2 linked regions of the Danio rerio genome follow. The protein of the gene in region 1 interacts with the protein of each later gene in a biochemical or structural test. Links are inferred from orthologs where the notes say so. Each region holds a gene or a part of one and is shown in the gene's direction. Other genes may lie near its edges. The genes, in order: cdc27 and anapc4.

Region 1 (9,698 bases):
TACTGCGTATGTTTACATAGATGAATCTGGCCGCTATAATGCACAGTACAGTTATGATCTATTACCACATTATATCGTTATGATGACATAACATATGCCTTTAGTGATTTCCAGAAGATAAATACCAAAAAATAACGCAACTGGAAAAACTACAGCAGTCACAATCGTCTGATCTCATATAAAGCAAGAGATCGCAATGACGTATGATGACATGTGCAGGTGCTGTAGTGCTGTCCCGTTTCTTAGGGGTAAATCTTAAAGCCCTTCGCATTCACACCTGATTTCAAGGCCTAAGGGGAAGGGTAGAGGTAAAAAAATAGAATTGGGCTTGGGACAAAGTTTTAGATTTGATCTTATAAAGTATTCATTGTTGATGTGTGTTTTTTTTTTATTGTTATAAGCCTATGTGTTATAGAAAAGTGTAATTTAATAAACCGTTTGTAAACTGCTTTAGTCAAATTGCAGTGGCCATTTAAAGCTGATAATAAACTCTGAAGTCTCGCTTCCATCCCTACTAAATTGGCTTGTGAAGTACACGTAATGGCATGATTTTATATCTTATTTTTAACTGTTTTGGGTTGTCTGTAGAGGGCACTTTGTTTCTCTCTCTGTTTGTAATGCAGCTGTCAACATTCTGAATTCAATTTATGAGATCATGTAAATAATGTCTTGAAAATAAATTCAATAATTAAATTTTAATTTCAGGCTGTCAGTAGAATCAGAACAGTGGGGACGAAGTCAGTGTTTGCACAAAGTGGCAACAGCAGAGAGGTCATTCCAAACCCCTTTATCCAAACTCAGACTACTGCTCCACAGACCAGGTACATCACCACACATTTATACAGGCAGTTTATGGCTGTAGCGATGGCTTCTGATGATCTCTCTTTCTGGTTTTTAGTACTACACCGCAAGTGCTGAGCCAAACCATTGCTGCTCCCCCAAATGTGCAGCCACGGCGGAGCTCAAGACTCTTCACCAGTGCCAGCTCCACTGCCAAGGTAATCTTTTTACGCATACAAATTCTAACATGCACTTCTTAAAACCTTTTAAGGTACAGTTCACCACAAAATCATTATCATTGTTTGTTCCAATCCTGTGTACATTTATTCGTTCTGCTAAACACAAAGGAAGATATTTGTAAGCATGTCAGTCACCAAACAGATCTTGGGACCTTTGTTGATATCTCATAGGAAGACATTCACTCAAAGTCTTATGAATACATTATCAATGTTTAAACCAAACAGGAGAACAGTAAGAAGCTGAAAATGAAGTTCCCCACCAAGATTCCTAACCGAAAGACCAAAACGAAAACGGGTAAGGGAGGAATCACCCCATCTAATCTGAATGAGAGCATCGAGATCCTCAAGTTAGATTCATCCTTATCAGAGGGCAAAGGCAACATCAGTTCACCGCAGTTCCAGGCTTTTAATCTACAAAAGGCTGCTGCAGGTATCTGACGATTCTTCACCTTTTTTTTTTAAGGGGTTAAGTGAATTGCAACTAACAACGTATTGTTCATGCTGCTCACAATTACACGCAATGGAGACTGTTCTTTTGATTGAAAACTACTTAAACCTTAGAAAATTAAAAATGTGTAATCTACTGATCATATACCATAAAATACAAATTATATACTGAAAAAAATATACTGTTTGCAAACAGACTAAACTCAGTGATAAAACTCAGGGATGCAACGATTATAAATTTTAGTTGTAAGATTATAGTCTAAGCAATAATCACGATTATACATTCAGTAATTTCAAAACACACATTTCTCTTTGGACTTAAAAAGAAGTGAAAGTGAAATTTTAAACTGAAAATAAATGACAGAACAATGAATAAGTAAATAAGAACAAATGTAGTCAGAGGCTGCTAAACCCCTGTCTGAAAGGCACTTTTGATCAACTATATTATGAACATGTTTCGAATTTATTATTATTTTTTTTCTGGAGTAGAATATTTATATTCCATACAAAATATGAAGCTAAATGGTTCTTGTCATGTGACTTGTGGTGCGCTCACGCAATTCTTTCACAGGGCTCGAAATTAACCTTTTTTTATTGGTAGCAGCGGTGCTCCTAACTTCAGAAATTTAGGCGCACCAGGCAAAATTTAGGAGCACCTACCAACAATTATGAGCACCGTTACTATTATATTAAATAAGTTTTGTATTAACAAATGTATTGCATTTGAAATGAACTATAATCAAAACTAACAAACGAAAAACAATATGCATGAGCCCACTGGCTCTGCACGCACTGCTTGATGTGAATGGGATGAACAGAGTTAACAATAATAACTTTGCTGTTCTCATGGGTGGTTTCTGACATTGCACACATGATTTTAACATATAACTAATTTGCATACGTCATCTTAATAGCAATAACGGTCTTTCGATGAGATGCAGTAGTTTAATCTCAGTGAATGCATGCTCTTTTGCGATGGTGAATGCGGTACCAGTCGCACGACTGACAGCATTGTGAGGATTTAATGGATGAAACAACGTTAGAAGATCTCGTGCTTAAAATGTGTTGATGTGGCAAACACGGTTACCTGAAAACTGTCCAACCAGCTTTACAGTGAATGCTTTCATCATTTTCATAGCGGACTTTAACCCACTGGAAGTCTTGTATCCACTCTTAGAAAAAGTATAAATAGTGGATTAACATTCACTCCATGATCACTAATCAGATGTGCCATTATTTGTAAGTTCAGGTGATTTCTAAAACAAAATCTCTCAGTGTTATTTTTATTGTCTCTTATCCAGACCTTTATGCTTTCGTGGCTGTAGCTCCCGGTCATCTGAATTGAGTGATTGACAGCTGATATTAACCAATCCATTCGTGTTGTGTTTTAGAGCAGGAGGCCAATCAGAAGAGCTTAAAGACGGGGCAAGCATTGTGGGATTTGTTTACTGCAGCAAGTTCACATGTCAACTGTTTTAAACTTTTCTTGAGCGCTGTGTTTGGTGCAAAGATGCCTTCTGCATGAATTTTCTTAAATACGTGCATGCGATTAACATTTTGCAGTGAAAACTGGTCGCACGGCAACAATTTATGCACTCGCCCAAATGCTACAAAATATATATTTGAAGTCGCATCGATAAAATTTTGGGCCCATATGAGACCAATTTCAAGCCCTGTTTCAACTATGTGCGCCTGAAAAGCTTGAGCGCGTTGTGTGCACGTCACTCCCAATATGCTCGCAAAAAAAAGAAATATCGAACTTTAGCACACAAAAGATGCGACATGTGAACGGCCCTTAGTTAATATCCTCAGCCATAGCTAATCCATTGTACGTGCATATTAGCCATTGTGTACAAGCTCTGAACTTTAAACAAGCGCACAGTTGCAGGAACGTTTAGTTGCACCAGTTTTGTTCTTTGCAGAAACACGATGTTGAGAAACTTATGTTTAATTAACCGTGACAAATTAAAGTGGTTAATAGTGAAAATGGTTAATCGTTGTATCCCTACTTGCGTTTGGTGCTTTCATTTCTATAACAAATTAAACAAAATAAAATTACATGGTGAGAACACTGTTTTTTTTTTTTTTTTTTTTTTTTTTTTTAAAGCATATTATCATAGTGATCCATGACGTTACAGGGTAATTAAAACAAAATTGTGGTGATAAGAAGAGTATTTGAGACTATATACTTTCTTACTTTGATTATAGTTTGAATTATTCCCATTTATTTGTAGAACAACTTTACAGTACAAAACTAAACATGCTGCATTATCCTGAACATTATAAGCATTTCATTGTCGTAGAGACTTATGTATAAAGTTGAAAGTACATTATTTATATTATTAATTCATGCTTTTTTGTGTTAGATTTTGAGCTACTACTTAATTTTCTCTTTGGGCTACTTAATTTTTCTCTTTTCTCTTGTATTTGAGCAACACCCTGAAGCAGGTTGCTGATTTTGTTTGCGGTTTTCTTTAGACGGGCTGATGACCCTGATGCGGGATATTGGGAGGGGATATCTTGCTCTCTGCTCTTATAACTGCCGAGAGGCCATTAACATCTTGAGTCAGCTACCTTCACACCATTACAACACGGGCTGGGTGCTGGGTCAGATCGGGCGAGCACACTTTGAACTGGCTGAATACATGCAGGTGAGTCTGCGTTGCAGAAATGAGGTGAAATCAATTACCAAAGGCATTCAAATTATAATGGCAAGTAGTGGAAAATGTTTTTGTTTGTTCTCACAGAAGATATTTTTGTCTGTTTAATTAGGCGGAGAGGATTTTTTCAGAAGTCCGACGTATAGAGAGCTATCGAGTAGAGGGTATGGACATCTACTCAACAACACTTTGGCATTTACAAAAGGATGTGGCACTTTCTGCCCTATCTAAAGACCTCACTGACATGGACAAAAACTCACCTGAGGTAAGTTTATCAAGGCAGTAATGCAATTATTAGTTGGAATATTATTCAGTTCAGTAAATCAGCTGCTTATCTTTTTGTTTTTCCACCTCTTTACAGCCCTGGTGTGTAGTTGGTAACTGTTTCAGCTTACAGCGGGAGCATGACATCGCCATTAAGTTCTTCACACGGGCCATCCAGGTGGACCCCAGCTTTGCTTACGCTTATACACTATTAGGGCATGAACTGGTTCTCACAGAGGAGCTGGAGAAAGCCCTGGGTTGCTTCCGCAATGCTATACGCCTCAATAAACGTCACTACAATGCCTGGTATGTTTGTTACTTTACATGACACCAAAAAAAAACCATTAAATAAGTCGTTCACTCACAATCATTTTACTTATCCAGTTGTCTGACAGATAAGTACCATCTGCTATTTCAGAAGCAAAAAGACTTCATCTTTCTGTCTCTTACCACAGGTATGGCTTGGGAATGATTTATTATAAGCAGGAGAAGTTTAATCTAGCCGAGATTCATTTCAAGAAAGCTTTTAGCATCAATCCTCAGAGCTCTGTGCTACTCTGTCATATCGGAGTGGTGAGTAAATCAGCCTTTATGTACTTTTTGGTTATGCATAAAACATAACATGATAATCACTGTTTAAAATTTCTGATAGGATTTTTGCTGTGCTGCATCTTCATATTGTTTCTCATGTACTCTGTCAGGTTCAACATGCTTTGAAGAAATCAGACCATGCACTGGAGACCCTTAACAGAGCCATTAGCATCGACCCTAAGAATCCGCTATGCAAATTCCATAGGGCCTCAATTCTGTTTGCCAATGAAAAGTACAAGGTACTGCTCTACTTGTACTATAATGTTAGGTGCAGTGAGTGATTTCTGAGAAACTCTGTTATATTTGAAATCTGACATCAAAGCAAAAATACACCGCCCCTTAATACTTAAACATGCAAAACAACAGGCAACCGCTACTGCAGAGTGAACCATATGCAGTTTAATAGTTCTTTACGATTGTTGCTCGTCAATCTATTCACCTTATTCTACGTGTATGAGCGAGCACAGCCGTTTGAATCTTTTTGGCTGGAGACTGCTGGTCTCATTCACTTCCATTCATTTTTGTGACATTAAAAACCGTTCTTTCTTCTGCTTGATGTTGCAAACTGATCTTTTTTTGTTTTACTATTCTGCTTCGTCCGTGTTGTCATGAACATACTTGCTTATAGAGGACCGTTTATTTGCCGTTTATTATTCCTAGTCATTTCTCCGATAGACGACTGAATCAGAAGTTCTTAAACAATCGCAAAAACGAGTGCACTATCACATTTAAGAATAGGGTCAATATCAGGGGTGCTCAAACGTTTCCTATGCATGGCCAAAACCAAACATAATTGACCCTTCGCTAAGCCCTGCCCAATAACTGCCACCCACCAATCGTGGCTTAGCAACTGTAGCTACGCGCAGGGGCTCTGTCAAGTTTTCGAGCGAGTGCATATGGATTGTGCAAATCTGATACCCGGTATCCTTAGAGTTTGGACTGGGCGGTGGAATTTTTCCCCTTTTCAAAACCTAAAATCCAAAAGGAGAAATACTAGCGTGGATCAAGCAGTGTGAGGGGCACTAAAAGAGCAGAGCTAAGTTGATTTTGTTTTGATATTCCTGACACATTCAGTGACAGACAGACGGCAATAACTCACAAACCTCTTACCCTAAACAGAACTAAACTGTGTTTCCTACAAAAACACAAAGCTGGTTATGTTTCACAGCTTTCTTATTCCTTTTTTTTTTTTGCTCTATTGTGAGTAATGCTCCGTTTAAGCCTTCGCCATAACGTTAGTAACTTAGTCATAATAGCGAATAAGTCATAATGACAAGAGTTATTGATTCGGAAAATACAAATCTGCGAATCTGTTGCTAACTTTACTGAACGTCATATTTCCATCTGTTTCAAGCTATGAATATTAGAAATGACAAATTAGCAGAACAAAACCGAGATATGATCACAAACTGAGCAGCAGATCAATATACTTTACCCGCAGCTGCTGTTTTTCAGTCATTTATAAAGAGCACACAAACATACTGACAGTAATAGGTAACTTATTGTTATGAGTCAATGATGCTAATATTCGACACAAATCCATCAGTTTCCCTTTCTGGCTGTTCTTTCTATGAATGAACTATGTAAAAGCACTGTCATGCATGTTTCTTCATCGGTTAGTAACTCCATTTCATTGCACAACAATTAATCCATCAGGCTTTTTGGCTAAAAATAGAGAAATCACGGTTTAATTTGTTATTATTAGATTATTTTTAGATTTCCCCTCTCCTGCTGAGCATGAGCTAAGCTGTTAAATGGTCAGCGTATGAGGTGGCTAGGCTAAGCTAGCTTCAATTTTAATTGATTTATTCTCTAATCGGTTGCCTATTATGTGGTGAATATACCCCTGTAATGCATACTGCAGTCCTTTATTGTCTGGCTTTCTCGGATATCTCACCTGTTCGCCAAAAATAACATTATACCCCTGGCAATGATTGACACCGGCGCACACATTGAAAAAGCTGTGCCAGGCACGAAAGCTTGACAGGCGTAGCAACAGTAACTAAGGAGGGGGGGCTTAGCGAAGGGTCCATTGAGAGCTGTGGGCGGAAGGTCAATCTAGCAAACTCTATTACAAAGTTGCCATAGGTAATTTTCTTTTTTTTTTATGTATATTTATAATACTTATAGATGGAAATTACTTAATCATGTATAATCATATGAGGTTAACTATTGCATTATAATTTTGTATATTTTATAATTAACGTATCCCTATGAAAAGAAACTATTCCATTTACAACACCATGGCTTTCAGTGCACATTTAAATACTCTGACCCATTCACAACATTCAATTGAAACATTTAATTCAAGCTTGTTTTTTTGTAGCATCACAATAAAACAAACAAAAGCTTATATTAAATTACAAAAGACAATCTCTATTAAAGGCAATTCCTCCTCCAACCCTTAATTTGGGATGGCGGGCCAAATCAAAGGTTATCATGGGCCAACTTTTGCAGATCCTAGTTTGGGCATCACTGGTCTATATGAATAGTTAACCAGCTTTAAGTCATGATACACTGTGGGATCTCAGTTGCTAAACAGTTGCCACAAACTCCAATACTTTCAAGACCCCCTTGTCTTCAAAAGAAAATTGAGAAAAAAAACAAATGTTTTGGAAAAAAAAATTTCACTTTGATTGGTTATTGATTTTACAATCACCATAGGAGAAGCCACACTGCAGACATGTGCTTAAACTTTGACACTCCCACAGTTTTATCAATCACTATTATTGGGCTGGTGAAAGTCAAACCACAGTGCAGATTTAGTCTAACTATAAGTATGCATTCTCAGTTTCGAGTGTTAGTTTTGGACTGTTGCTTTGATTTGGTCATCTAAGAAATTGTCCTGTTACTGTAGCCAATATTAAAGCTCCTACTTGGTCTCATCACTCATTTCCAGTGCACTGTTTAAACAGCCATGGCTTTATACAGACAAGCTGCTTTTTTATGTATTTATTTTTTTTCAGTACACGCAAAACAGACAGCAAACTACTATTCACAAAATGGGCTTGGTGTTGTCGAAATGTTCTAGTTTCTCAGAAATTGCTCTTTGCTCTTTTAACATGTTGACTAACACTATAAATAGTTTGAAAAGTTAAATGACCAGTCTATTCTTTACAGGCGGCTCTGCAGGAGCTTGAAGAGCTGAAACAAATAGTGCCCAAAGAGTCCCTTGTTTACTTCTTAATAGGAAAGGTACACCTACAGCAAAACGGCTTACTTGATTTCATTTAACATCTTGTAACCGCTAATGTCCCTGTTTGGAAACTCCTGAATCAAATGTTCGTCATCTCTATAGGTCTATAAGAAGCTTGGCCAGACTCATCTGGCATTAATGAACTTTTCCTGGGCCATGGACTTGGACCCCAAAGGGGCCAATAATCAGATCAAAGAGGCCATAGATAAGCGATACCTCCCAGATGATGATGAGCCTGTCACTCCTGATGACTATCCCTACTGCTCAAGTAAGTCTCCAGCTCAGTGAGTCATTAATGCAGGGCTGTGTGCTCGGTGTAATGCTGTTTGTTGGTCTCTGCAGCGGAGGTGGAGGAATCACAGGAGAGCAGTATGACGGACGCTGACGACACTCAGCTCCACACGACGGAGAGCGACGAGGTTCTCTAGCCCCCTGACACCACTCTGGACTTTCAAATAATGCCAATTTGGGGGCTATTCGAAGACTCCAGCTCAAAAAAAAAACAGGAGGAAGAAGAAAAAAGGAAAACAAACTGCTGCTAATAACAGTACCTCCTCATTTTTGTCATTTCATTTTCTTCATTCGTTCTTGCCTTTTTTCCCACCCTCCCCCACCTCTTGTCGTCATGCCTTAGAGGTCTCTCATCGGTCTGATCTTCTGGTCCTGTCTCATCTCCTATCACAACTGGCAGGTGTCCTTTTATCACAGACACAGTCGCTTGAACAATTCAAGTTCTGCCTGAGCTCAAATTGCCCAGATTTGCCCATGACTCCACCGTCTTCTCAACAGGCTAATTGACTTACTTAACTTCACACAGCTCCACAGACTTTCATGGATGTACCTGTCTTAATGCTTAGGCATTTCATGTTATTTTATCGACATTTACCCTGAATAAAGACTTGTGCAAGAGTTGGTAGTCCTTTAATTCCTCTCCCCTCCCTGTCACATCTTGAAAGTGCCGGGAGAGAAGAAAAAAGCACTTTCTGCCCACATCAAAAGTTTGGCATGAGATTCATCTGCTAATCTTTCAGATTGCCATCTGTTAGATGGGAAAAAAAAACAAAGTTAACTGTAGAAACAGCTAGTTCTGAATGATATGGATTGATCTGGATTTTGTTTGAGCAATTGTCAAATACTGTTAGTGTTAAACTGAACAATTTGCCTCACACTCATGTTTCGCTCTAAGTGATGTCAACTTTCAAACACCTGAATCATATTTGATTATTATTTTGCCCAGCTGCAAGACATCGATCAGAGAATTTTGTTTAAATTGTTATCTTTACTGTGAAACCACTCTAGAGTGTCCAAATGAATTACCCTATTGTATGGCACAGTGACCAGTGGTCAGACTTCATGAGACAATATACTGAAATGTTGGTGCTGTTGAGGACAATACTGATGAACATAGTAAATGTGCACAAAGTATCTTCATGGTTTTTATTTTACCAGAACATGTTTATTATTATGAAATGTTTTTGATCTCTGCTAAATGCTTCTTATTGTACATTTTAAGAAATTATG
Region 2 (10,364 bases), on another chromosome or scaffold:
GAAAGAGAGAGAGAGGGAGAGAGATGGGGTGTGTAGCATCCATGTTCAGCCCACACCACATCAAAGACACACATACATCATTTTCATATCCACAATGGCATGTAAATGTATTTTGCAGACATACACTTTATTGTTTGGTTCAAAACAACCACCAAATCACTGTCTGACAACTGTGCAAACGTATGGCAGCAAGTTGGAGCAAAGATAACATACCAAATATAACAGCAAATTTCATTTAATTAAAGGGATAGTTCACCATTTACACATGCTCAAGGAGTTCTAATGAATTTTATTTTTGTCTGTTGAACACAAAACAAGTTATTCTGAAGAATGTTGGAAACCAGCAGCTTTTGGCATCCACAGTAGAAACAAAAAATACTCAGGAAGTCAATGGCTGCTGCTTTCCAACATTCTTCAATATATCTTCTTTTGGGTTCAACAACCAGCTAATCAAGGTATACTATAAACTTCCTGGCAGGTGTGTTGAAGCAAGTTGGAGATAAGTTTGAACAACCATGTTATTAAAGGCAAATAAATATTTCCTCATCATTTGCTCACCCACCCAGGTTCCAAATCTTAAAATAAAAAAATGTTGAAAACTAGCCATTGAAATCCATAGTAAGTTTGTGTTCAACAGCAGAAAGAAGAAAAACAAAAGTTTTTGGTGAACTGTCTCTTTAAGCATACACTGTTTATGTAGTAACATCTGTCCAAGAAACGTACTAGTCTGCTTGATCACTTAAATTTTACCTTTTTTATGCATTTTTTATGCCATTTTATTTTAAATATTCTGATTTAAATAATCATTTATAGACTTAGACACGATACTTTTAGAACCAACATGTATTAGTCATCAAAGACCTTAATTTAACCTCATATCAATAGCTCAGCCACATTAAAACACCCTGCCATTAAAAGAGTACTTTATATAGGAATGAGGACACAACAAACTGTAATGCCCTGCTACAAGGTAAGCTTAGAAGCTATGTGCATTGCTAGACTATTACCATCACTTACTCTCTATATTTGATAATATAGCAAGATTAGTTATTAGCTATGGATGTGTGTCACTCTCTGGCTGACTATCATGGAAATTTATGTTGTACACGTTGACTGGAAATATCTGCTGATTTTTGCATTGAGTCAAAAAGCATGTCAAAATCAGGCTTCTCAGAAATGCGAGAGAGTAAACACATAGATACTCAGTATGACCAGTTCATATGTCATCAATAGCAGCTCACTTCTTTGATTAACTACATCAGAAGTGAATCATATTGCAATTCACCGAATGATATCCCAGACCACCTTTGGGTGAACTCTGATTTGGGTTCAGGAAACAGCGTGCGCATTATCAAACAATCCAAAGTCAGATGTTAAACAAGCTGGTGTTAAAGAGTGCTAGTGTAAAAGTCCTGACCAAAAATGGAAATACCTTTGGTCCTGGTTGGCTGTTTCCACTGTACAGGCTGAGTCTAAAGCTGCAAAACAAATACAAACAGCTTATATGATGTATATTTTTTTCGACAGGACTAACTGAACATCCGAAATGATGCTAGGTTAAATGTGCTTGTTGTATGTGCAAACAGGTAATGATATTTTATAGCTTACATTGCAACTTTAGCAAGAAGAGAACAGGTATGTTCGCATTCTGTTGTGACATCATGTCCTGTTTTGGGTTTGTACAGGTTTGTGGTCCATTCTATGATTAAAGTTCAATCAAAGTCCACCAAAGTTTGTTTGGTGCTCAGGATTCAGATGGCAAAACCAAACCTGCCAAGTGTGAATAGTGTTAATGAAACATAAGCTCCATTTCAAAACAGCAACCAGGACATTAATTGTGATTTTTCTAAGTGTTTCATGAAAGAAATTTATACAGGTTTGGAAATGAATTAGATACACAATTTTTGTCTGTGTGTGTGAAGTTTTAGTCTTTAACTTTGGTTTAAGAGAGGTGTTTAAGACGAAGCACAGATGCTGACCGTGAGTGGCGCAGTAGCTGTCTATTTCAGGATACTTATCACATTCACTTCATAACACTGACAGCAAAGAGCTATTCTTGTTTCTTAACAATCATGCACTGATTACGGCTGAGTCTCAATGACAGAAAGGAGATCTGTCACTCGAAGGTCTGTCATAGTGTAAGCGTCCAGACCACTGGCTCATTCAGAGAATTATTCCAGTGTCTCAGTGAGCAGAATGAGGGATTTTATTTGTATTTGATACAGTCTCATTATTCTGAAATGCAGTAGGACTGTTTGGCACTGAAAATTATCCTAATGAAATTAATAAAAAATGATTTCATGAAAACATGATACTATAATGTTGGGCATAGTTAGAACAAAACAAAACAAAATATTCTGCCCACATACAATAACATAAAACCTTGTTTTTTTGTTTCTTTGGTTAAATAAAGTACGTAAAACCAATCAAAACCACAAAAAAGCGGCAACATTTACCTAAATTCCTTACTGTATTTTGATTAAAGAAGCAACATAATGTTGTGCATATTCATGTAAAATATCTAGTATAATAACTTCTTTTTTTATTAAAAAGTATAGTATTGAGCACAATAAGCAGACTATTTTGCAAGTATGTTTGGTTTATTTTATACTACTGTTAATGCGTAGCTTTATAAGTATTTTGTGTATATACAATCTGCATTGACAACAAAAATTACAGACGTTTGTACATTCAAAAACTCAAGTTATAAGCAAAATCATCAGAATAATAACACCTTAAAAATATTAAATTATAATAAAGGAACGGTTCTAAATCCAAACACAAAACACCTTTCCCCTCCATTTTCAATCTTGTGTAAGACTTTTCACATATTCTCTCAATCAGGATTAATCCCATTTCAGTAATGATGTGTCAATACAACACAACGCAAATTGGGTTAACCTTATCAATTTGCACCTGTGTCATTTTGCCTAATAACCTTATTCTTCAAGGGTTCATGGAGCCTACTAGTTTACCCAGAAAACAACCAAACTGCATTAGTTAATACTTTATATAATGTGTTTGTTTAACATAAAAAGTAAAAAATAATATAATAAGTTTGCTGCTAGTCATTCCCAGACAGTCTTTTTGTCAATTACATTTTAGATTCAAATTATCATAATTAATTTTAATTCTGAATATTTATCATGGTCTGCAAATAATTCTAGGGCATAAGATTAACCGTGTCATTGTGTGTGTGTTTGTTAAACAACATTGTTACAGAAACGTATTTTAAGTGGGTTATTTTCTAAATATCAAATGAACAAACGTGCCTGACAAAAAACAAATCTTTCAAACATGCTCTTAACTTTGCATTCTTACCAATAATATTTTCTTGAAAATCCCGGTAATTCTAAAAACCTTCTCCGAAACATAACAATAATATTGCGATTAACCGGGTGGTTGAGGGATTTTGTCATATTTACCTTTTTTCTGGTATAAAAGTCATTTCGCGTTTTTAAAATGCACTTGTCATCTTGCGCTTTCCGTAGTCACAATTTCATTGGCGGGTCAGAGTCATGTTGTACTGCTACACACTATGATGAGTTTTCTGAATATCAATCTTTTTACAGTACAAATGAGAATATTATGATGCATTAAATCGCTTTCTCCAAACGTTTCAAACGAAGAATTGGATTGTGGAGTTTATTTTCATCCGTCATTTGTTTAGTAAGTAAGTGTAGTCTTAATATTAGGCTAATGTTGCGAAGCATCACATGTTTAACGTTAGCAGCCACTTAAGTTAAAATTTTGTTTATTTATTTAGTCTTTTGATGCCTGAAGGATTTCAGTTTACTACTTTGTAATCTGCGTTTAATATAACTACTGTCAAAGACGTCCAGCAGCAGCCGCAGATGACAGCAGTAACTTAGTCATGAGTGAACGGTATTGATACTGTCTGTACTATGGTAACTAACTTATTATTAGACTATTTGTCCATTCAACAGGATTCAGCAATGCCTGCGTTTCGGCAGGTTGGGGAGAAACAGCTCCCAAACCCTATTCTGTACATGGCCTGGTGTCCTAAAAGAGATCTGATCGCTTTGGCCAACACTACAGGAGAGGTTGGTCTTGCATAACTGTTACACACAAAGTTGGCTTTATATTCACACATTCTGACTTGCTTCTTATTATATAATTTCAGTAAAGTATTCTTTGCAAATTCGAAATGACATTATCAAATTGGCATATGCTAAAATCATAATCATATTAACAGCCAATGACCGTTGAAGTACAACATTGTTCAGACTCAAATAATTTGTGCTAATGTGGTTTTGAAGTTATGCAGATGTGTGATTTCAGACCGAAAGTTGAAATTGGCATGGTAAACAGTATAGGGGCTGTTAAAATCAACGAATTTGCGAATATATAAAGCAACTTTACCTCAAACATACACACTCATATCTGTCTTCAGTTAGAGCTGATTGTTATTGTCTGTAGGTCATTGTCATTTGACTTCATTGGACTGTTCTGTCATTACAGCTTCTTCTGCATCGGCTTGCCAACTTTCATCGGGTGTGGAGTTTACCTCCTAATGAGAACACAGGAAAAGAGATCACATCACTGGCCTGGAGACCCGATGGGAAAGGTAAACAAATACAGAATTTCAGTGGCTTATTACAGTGGACACATCAGGGTTATGATAGTTAGTGTAACTCATAAAAGTAAAACAAACCTTACTTGTAATAAATGTTGACGGAAAGTCGTTTAACCCTGTTTTCCAATTATAAAAAGAACACAATCAAACATAGGGAAGGAATAAATTTTAGAAGCTGTAATAGTTGTATAATTGTATTAAAATAACAATGTAAAAAAAACATTTACTTTTGGATTACTTTAATGTTTTGTCTTCATTTTGAACACACTAGTTTGTAGCACACAATGTTCAGGTCCTAGGTTTCACACAAATTTGACACTGTTTATATTGCTAATTTTTCTTACATTTTACAAATATTTTAGCAGTGTTATTAGATTTTTTTTGTTATTTGTGCTATTGTTTATTGTTACTAATAAATGCACTTGTCAAAAATTAGTCAAAACATTCTGATGCTGAATCAGTTACAGATATGACAAATAAAAAACAACTTTAAAAAATATTGAACTGCGGTATTTTAGAGAGAGTTGCATCTCTGTTGCATCTCGCCGGGTTATTGCTTTTTCCTACTCTATTAGCAAGACAAGCCATTTTTGTCCGATGGAAACAGGTACTACCTCAATCACATGACATGACTGAGAAATCTTTAGCTGCATAAAACAAATGCTTAAGAAGTTAAGATGTCTCAAATCTTTTTACAAGACCTGGAACCCTGTTTTAGACTACATCAAATGGCTTTCCCGGTTTATATCAGCTCTAATACACAGTAAATAACCAGAAAGAGGAAATACTGACTCCTTCATGCAAACTTTTCTTCTTCTTTTTTACTCTTTTATTGTAAACTTGCTCAATTATTATAATTTTATTTTATTACATTTTATTTATATATATTTTTTAATTTATGTATTTTTTCACAAAGACTATAGGATACACAAAACTTATTACTTGTTCATTTTTAAATGTGGAAAAGTGTAAAGGTTCATTGAGCTGAATGCATTAAATAGTCAGTATAAAAAAAGGTTGAAGATAAACTTGTGCTAACAATCTAGCCTTTATAACCAAATTATTTAACAAAAGATGATTACTGCAGTAAAATATTTGTAGTTTTTTAATAAGCATGATATATACAAGATAGAGAGGGTATGAAAAGTTAATTTGTCCAGTAATAAACACCAAACACACGTGGTTGTGGTTGAGGAATTTTTCCTCTGTTGTATTGTTAAACACCAATAAAATATATTGAACTGCTTTTGTAACAGAAAAAAAGATCTACATTCTGACTTATTTAAGCTACCATTGTCATTTTAATTGAAGTAAAGTTGGTTTTATTTTCGCAAATTTGTACTTTCACCTTAATAATATAATTTTCGAAAGGTTTTCTTTGCAAATTCTAAAAAGGCAAATTATATTAGCAGCCAGTGACTATCAAAGTAAAACGTTGTTCACAGTCAAATAAATAGTGCTAATGTTGTTTTGAATTTCATTTGAATTTGTTTATTTCAGACTACATATTCAAAGCAGCATGCTAAATGATATAGGGACAATGTCACAAGTTGACACTGTAATGAATTTATGAGTGTAAAACCAACTCTACCTCAATGTCATGTTACGTGATTATCCACATTGGATCGTTGTGTGCAGTTCTAGCGTTCAGTGTGGGCGACACAAAGCAGGTGGTCCTGTGTGATGCAGAAAAGGCTGAAATCCTCCATCTGTTCCCTGTGGAATATCCAGCATCCTGCATGCACTGGATGGAGGTGCAAGATGACAGCAGGTGTGATTTTTGACATGGTATTGTTTTCTTTCTGCATTGATTCCATAGGTTGATTGGTTTTATATTTTCCTCTAGCACATTGACCTCATTCAGCGAGTCTGAGGATGAGTCAAGCCGTTTTCTTCCAAAGTTACCCACTTTACCTAAAAGGTGAGACTCTGAGCACAAGATTTGTCCACTAGAGAGCTGATTGAGAAATGCTTGGGTCACTCATTTGTTTTTGTTTTTTATGTTTAAATGTTTTTTATGGCTTTTCCATTTTCCTTTGTGCCATGTTTCTGTTCAGCTACAGCACCACATCAAAGATATTTAGGTAAGAAGACACTTAATGTGCTTAAATGCTGATTATTTGCTATTTCTTTAGCTTACTCTTTTTTTATTCACTTTTATTTTGAAATGGTCATCTGCATGTGGCTTGTGCATATATGACTGTGTGTGTGCGTGCGTACGCTCTGGTTTTTTCTTATGTGACGTTTTCTCCCTCACAGTGAAGAAAAATCAGAAGAAGTGACAAACCTTTTAGGGGAAGTGAGGTCAGTTTTGCATGTATTTGAGCTGAATGATTGTAGGCTTTGGACTCTGCTTATGTTGCATTGTGATCGTTGATGCTTTGTTTTGCAGACTCAATATCCTGGTTGTTGGAGGACCATCTGGATTTGTTGAGCTGTATGCTTACGGCCTGTATAAGATTGCAACATTAAGTGGGGTAAGTTATAAATAAAAACTTGAACATGTTTTTTTCTTTGCAAATGCTTATGTTTAAGTTTATTATTAGTGTTAAAAATAATAAATAAGTGGTAAAAGATAGGTTATTTTTAAAAATGATTGAAAAACAATTCCAGAAATGCTAACTTAAATGTTTTAATAATTGTGAGTCTATAGCTTGCATTTCTGAAAGAACAGAAGTCAGAGTGCTGATGGGAAAAAAGCCAGAATTTTAACATCTTTATTTTGCAAGTTTAATTTGTTTTTAATTTAACTTGTAATTCAGTTTTTTTTTTCAGAATTATAAGGTAAAAGCTTTTTTTTTTTTAATTGCATGAAAAGAAATACAGAACTTGAATATTTGTAAATAAATTGAAAAGAACCAAATACATGGATTTCTTTAATCCAGTAGTGAAAACATGTTTCTGTAGGGTATAGAGTTTATAACTAGCTGTACAAGCAATCAATATTTTTAAATCTAGATAGTTATGTAAACAAGTTGTTTATGTAGAATAATGACATCATTTATTATTTATGTTTATTTTTTTCTCAGATCTTAGGGACGTGCCGTAGTCTTGGACTGTCTAGTGACCTCAAGTCTCTCTCTGTTATTACAGAGATTAGATCCACAGACGACAACCCTGAGATTCGTTACATACAGGTGAAAGCTTTTAATGTGTGTGTGTGTGTGTGTGTGTGTGTGTGTGTGTGTGTGTGTGTGTGTGTGTGTGTGTGTGTGTGTGTGTGTGTGTGTGTGTGTGTAGTTGAAGTCAGAATTATTAGCCCCCCTCTCAATTTATTTTTTTATTAGAGCAAGGAAATTTTCACAGTATGTCTGATAATATTTTTTTCTTCTGGTGAAAGTCTTATTTGTTTTATCTCGGCTAGAAACAAGCACTTTAAATTTAAAAAAAAAAATCATTTTAGGGTCAAAATTACTATACCCCTTTAAGCTATTTTTTTTTCAATAGTCTACAAAACAAACCATCATTATACAATAACTTGCCTAATGTGCCTAGTTAACCTAATTAATCTAGTTAAGCCTTTAAATGTCACTTTAAGCTGTACAGAATATATATATATAAGTGGAGGGCCGTTATCGGCATAACCGTGCTTCGTTAACGCAAGACTCTTATAGGGCGATCAAAAAAATATCACCGTTAATCTATTCTCAAAGTTGGGTTGGGAGCTGGGTCTGTTCTACGCAAGCTATGATGACATTCATCAAACATGACGTGCTAACATGAATGCAGTTCACTAGAGTGAATCTGATTAATGTTAGCTCCACATCTAGCTATCAGGCACCGGTAGAGTTTATGCGTTCGAGTAAAACATACAAATAAAATAGAGCGGTTGCTTTTCAACATGAATGACGCTGAATGTAAGTCAAACCGGTGAGCCGTCTGACAATAAAAAGTCCCCTTCTGGATCAAATCATTAGGATGCCCTTCTAAATCTTTCACTTACTACGCTTGCATTTATCTTAATAGACAATGATATAATTAAGGTGTTTACGTGAAGTGCTTTCATGTAAGAGTTTCCTGTAATTTTGGGTGACTTTAACTGCAATTTGGCAGTTTCACATTCACTCATGAACATTTCCCTGTGCATACTCCACGTCTTAATTTAATTTCTGTTTAGTTCTATTATGACTTTAGTCGGATTAAGGTAATCAAAATTCTGAATGCCTTCAGCAGAATTTAAATGAGCCATTTTAATCTAGATTAATTCCAAGATTGCAGTGATCAACTAGATTAATCTAGATATAAAAAATTAAGATTAATCTAGATATAAAAAAAAAAACATCTATGTCCATGTCCACCTACAGTTGATGTCAGAATTATTAGCCCCCATGTTTATTTTTTCCCCTACATTCTGTTTAACGTAGAGAAGATTTTTTTTAACACATTTTTAAACATAATAGTTTTAATATCTCATCTCTAATGACTGATTTTTTTTTTCTTTGCCATGATGACACTAAATAATATTTTACTAGATATTTTTCGAGACAATTCTATACAGCTTAAAGTGCCATGTAAAGGCTTAACTAGGTTAATTAGGTTAAATAGACAGGTTAGGGTAATTAGGCAAGTTATTGTATAATGATGATTTGTTCTATAGACTATCTAAAAATATGTATAGATTAAAGGGGCTAATAATAATTTTGACCTTAATGTTTTTTAGTTTTTTTAACTTTCTTTATTCTAGCCGAAATAAAACAAATAAGACTTTCTCCTGAAGAAAAAATATTATCAGACGTACTGTGAAAATTTCCTTGCTCTGTTAAACATCATTTGGGAAATATTAAAAAAGAAAAAAAATTCAAAGGGGGGCTAATAATTCTGTCTTCAACTGTATATCAAAAGAGGACGTCTCATCACTGACCCATATACAAAATATATAATATTTATATAGCCCTTACAAGTATTATATATTTATTTTTACAAATAAAATGAATAGATTAATAAATACCATATTGACCGTTATTACCTGCTCTATATATTGATAATTTGACAAATTCACATGTATTAAAACAGCAAATAGTGTATTCTGATACTGTGATTGATTGTATTGTAGCTGGACACTGGGCTGCTGTCTTCATGTCTGCCCGAACTGACCAAGATGGCACGCAAGTTCACACATATCTCAACACTGCTACAGGTGACTGTCTTCTTATAATCTTCTGTTCTCGCGCAGATAGTATGTTTCATTCTCTTTTGTCTTTTTAGTATCTGCGTGTCTCTCTCACCTGCATGTGTGAAGCATGGGAGGAAATTCTTATGCAGATGGACCTCCGCCTCACTAAGTTTGTCCAGGTCAGTTCAAAACAAACAAGCAGTTATAAGACACCACTGGCATTCATTAGACATTTAAACCACAGTTGATTATTGCAATAATGGACTGATCCACTGAAGCTATCCTAACTGGCTTTGATTTGTTTATTAAAACTTTTAGAACAGTTGATGAGTTGCAGTGTTGTTTTACAGGAAAAAAACACAAGCACTCAGGTTCAGGATGAGTTTTTGGAGCTGCTGTTATGGGGCCATGCAAGGTAAACAATTTATAGATGAAATAGATGAAATGTTCATTCATGAGTTAAAGTGAAACTGCCGAACTGCAGTTAAAGTCAGGCATCCTGCTGATTTCATTCAGAAGGGCACTTTTTGTCAGACGGCTCACCGGTCAGGTATACATATCAAGGTGAAAGTCATCATAGCTTGCGTAGAATAGACCCAGCTCCCAAACCAACTTTGAGAGTACATTCACGGCAATATTTTTTTGTTGCGCGAT

The links.
Region 2: the proteins of cdc27 (region 1) and anapc4 form a complex in vitro, tested with the Homo sapiens proteins (2 studies listed by BioGRID). The link is inferred for Danio rerio from reciprocal best matches to the Homo sapiens genes CDC27 and ANAPC4.

What each region holds. Positions count from the first base shown.
Region 1 is NC_133178.1:20,781,857-20,791,554, forward strand, and holds part of cdc27 (cell division cycle protein 27 homolog), read left to right. Parts: intron 1-705; coding exon 706-821; intron 822-898; coding exon 899-998; intron 999-1,244; coding exon 1,245-1,449; intron 1,450-3,944; coding exon 3,945-4,117; intron 4,118-4,238; coding exon 4,239-4,391; intron 4,392-4,487; coding exon 4,488-4,696; intron 4,697-4,845; coding exon 4,846-4,963; intron 4,964-5,091; coding exon 5,092-5,220; intron 5,221-8,101; coding exon 8,102-8,176; intron 8,177-8,279; coding exon 8,280-8,445; intron 8,446-8,519; coding exon 8,520-8,605; 3' UTR 8,606-9,698. UniProt on the Homo sapiens protein: Component of the anaphase promoting complex/cyclosome (APC/C), a cell cycle-regulated E3 ubiquitin ligase that controls progression through mitosis and the G1 phase of the cell cycle.
Region 2 is NC_133195.1:26,090,098-26,100,461, reverse strand, and holds the start of anapc4 (anaphase-promoting complex subunit 4), read left to right. Parts: upstream 1-3,512; 5' UTR 3,513-3,669; exon of another isoform or gene 3,670-3,673; intron 3,674-3,927; 5' UTR 3,928-3,956; coding exon 3,957-4,064; intron 4,065-4,482; coding exon 4,483-4,588; intron 4,589-6,235; coding exon 6,236-6,368; intron 6,369-6,443; coding exon 6,444-6,518; intron 6,519-6,654; coding exon of another isoform or gene 6,655-6,681; intron 6,682-6,856; coding exon 6,857-6,901; intron 6,902-6,989; coding exon 6,990-7,074; intron 7,075-7,626; coding exon 7,627-7,734; intron 7,735-9,650; coding exon 9,651-9,734; intron 9,735-9,802; coding exon 9,803-9,889; intron 9,890-10,060; coding exon 10,061-10,125; intron 10,126-10,364. UniProt on the Homo sapiens protein: Component of the anaphase promoting complex/cyclosome (APC/C), a cell cycle-regulated E3 ubiquitin ligase that controls progression through mitosis and the G1 phase of the cell cycle.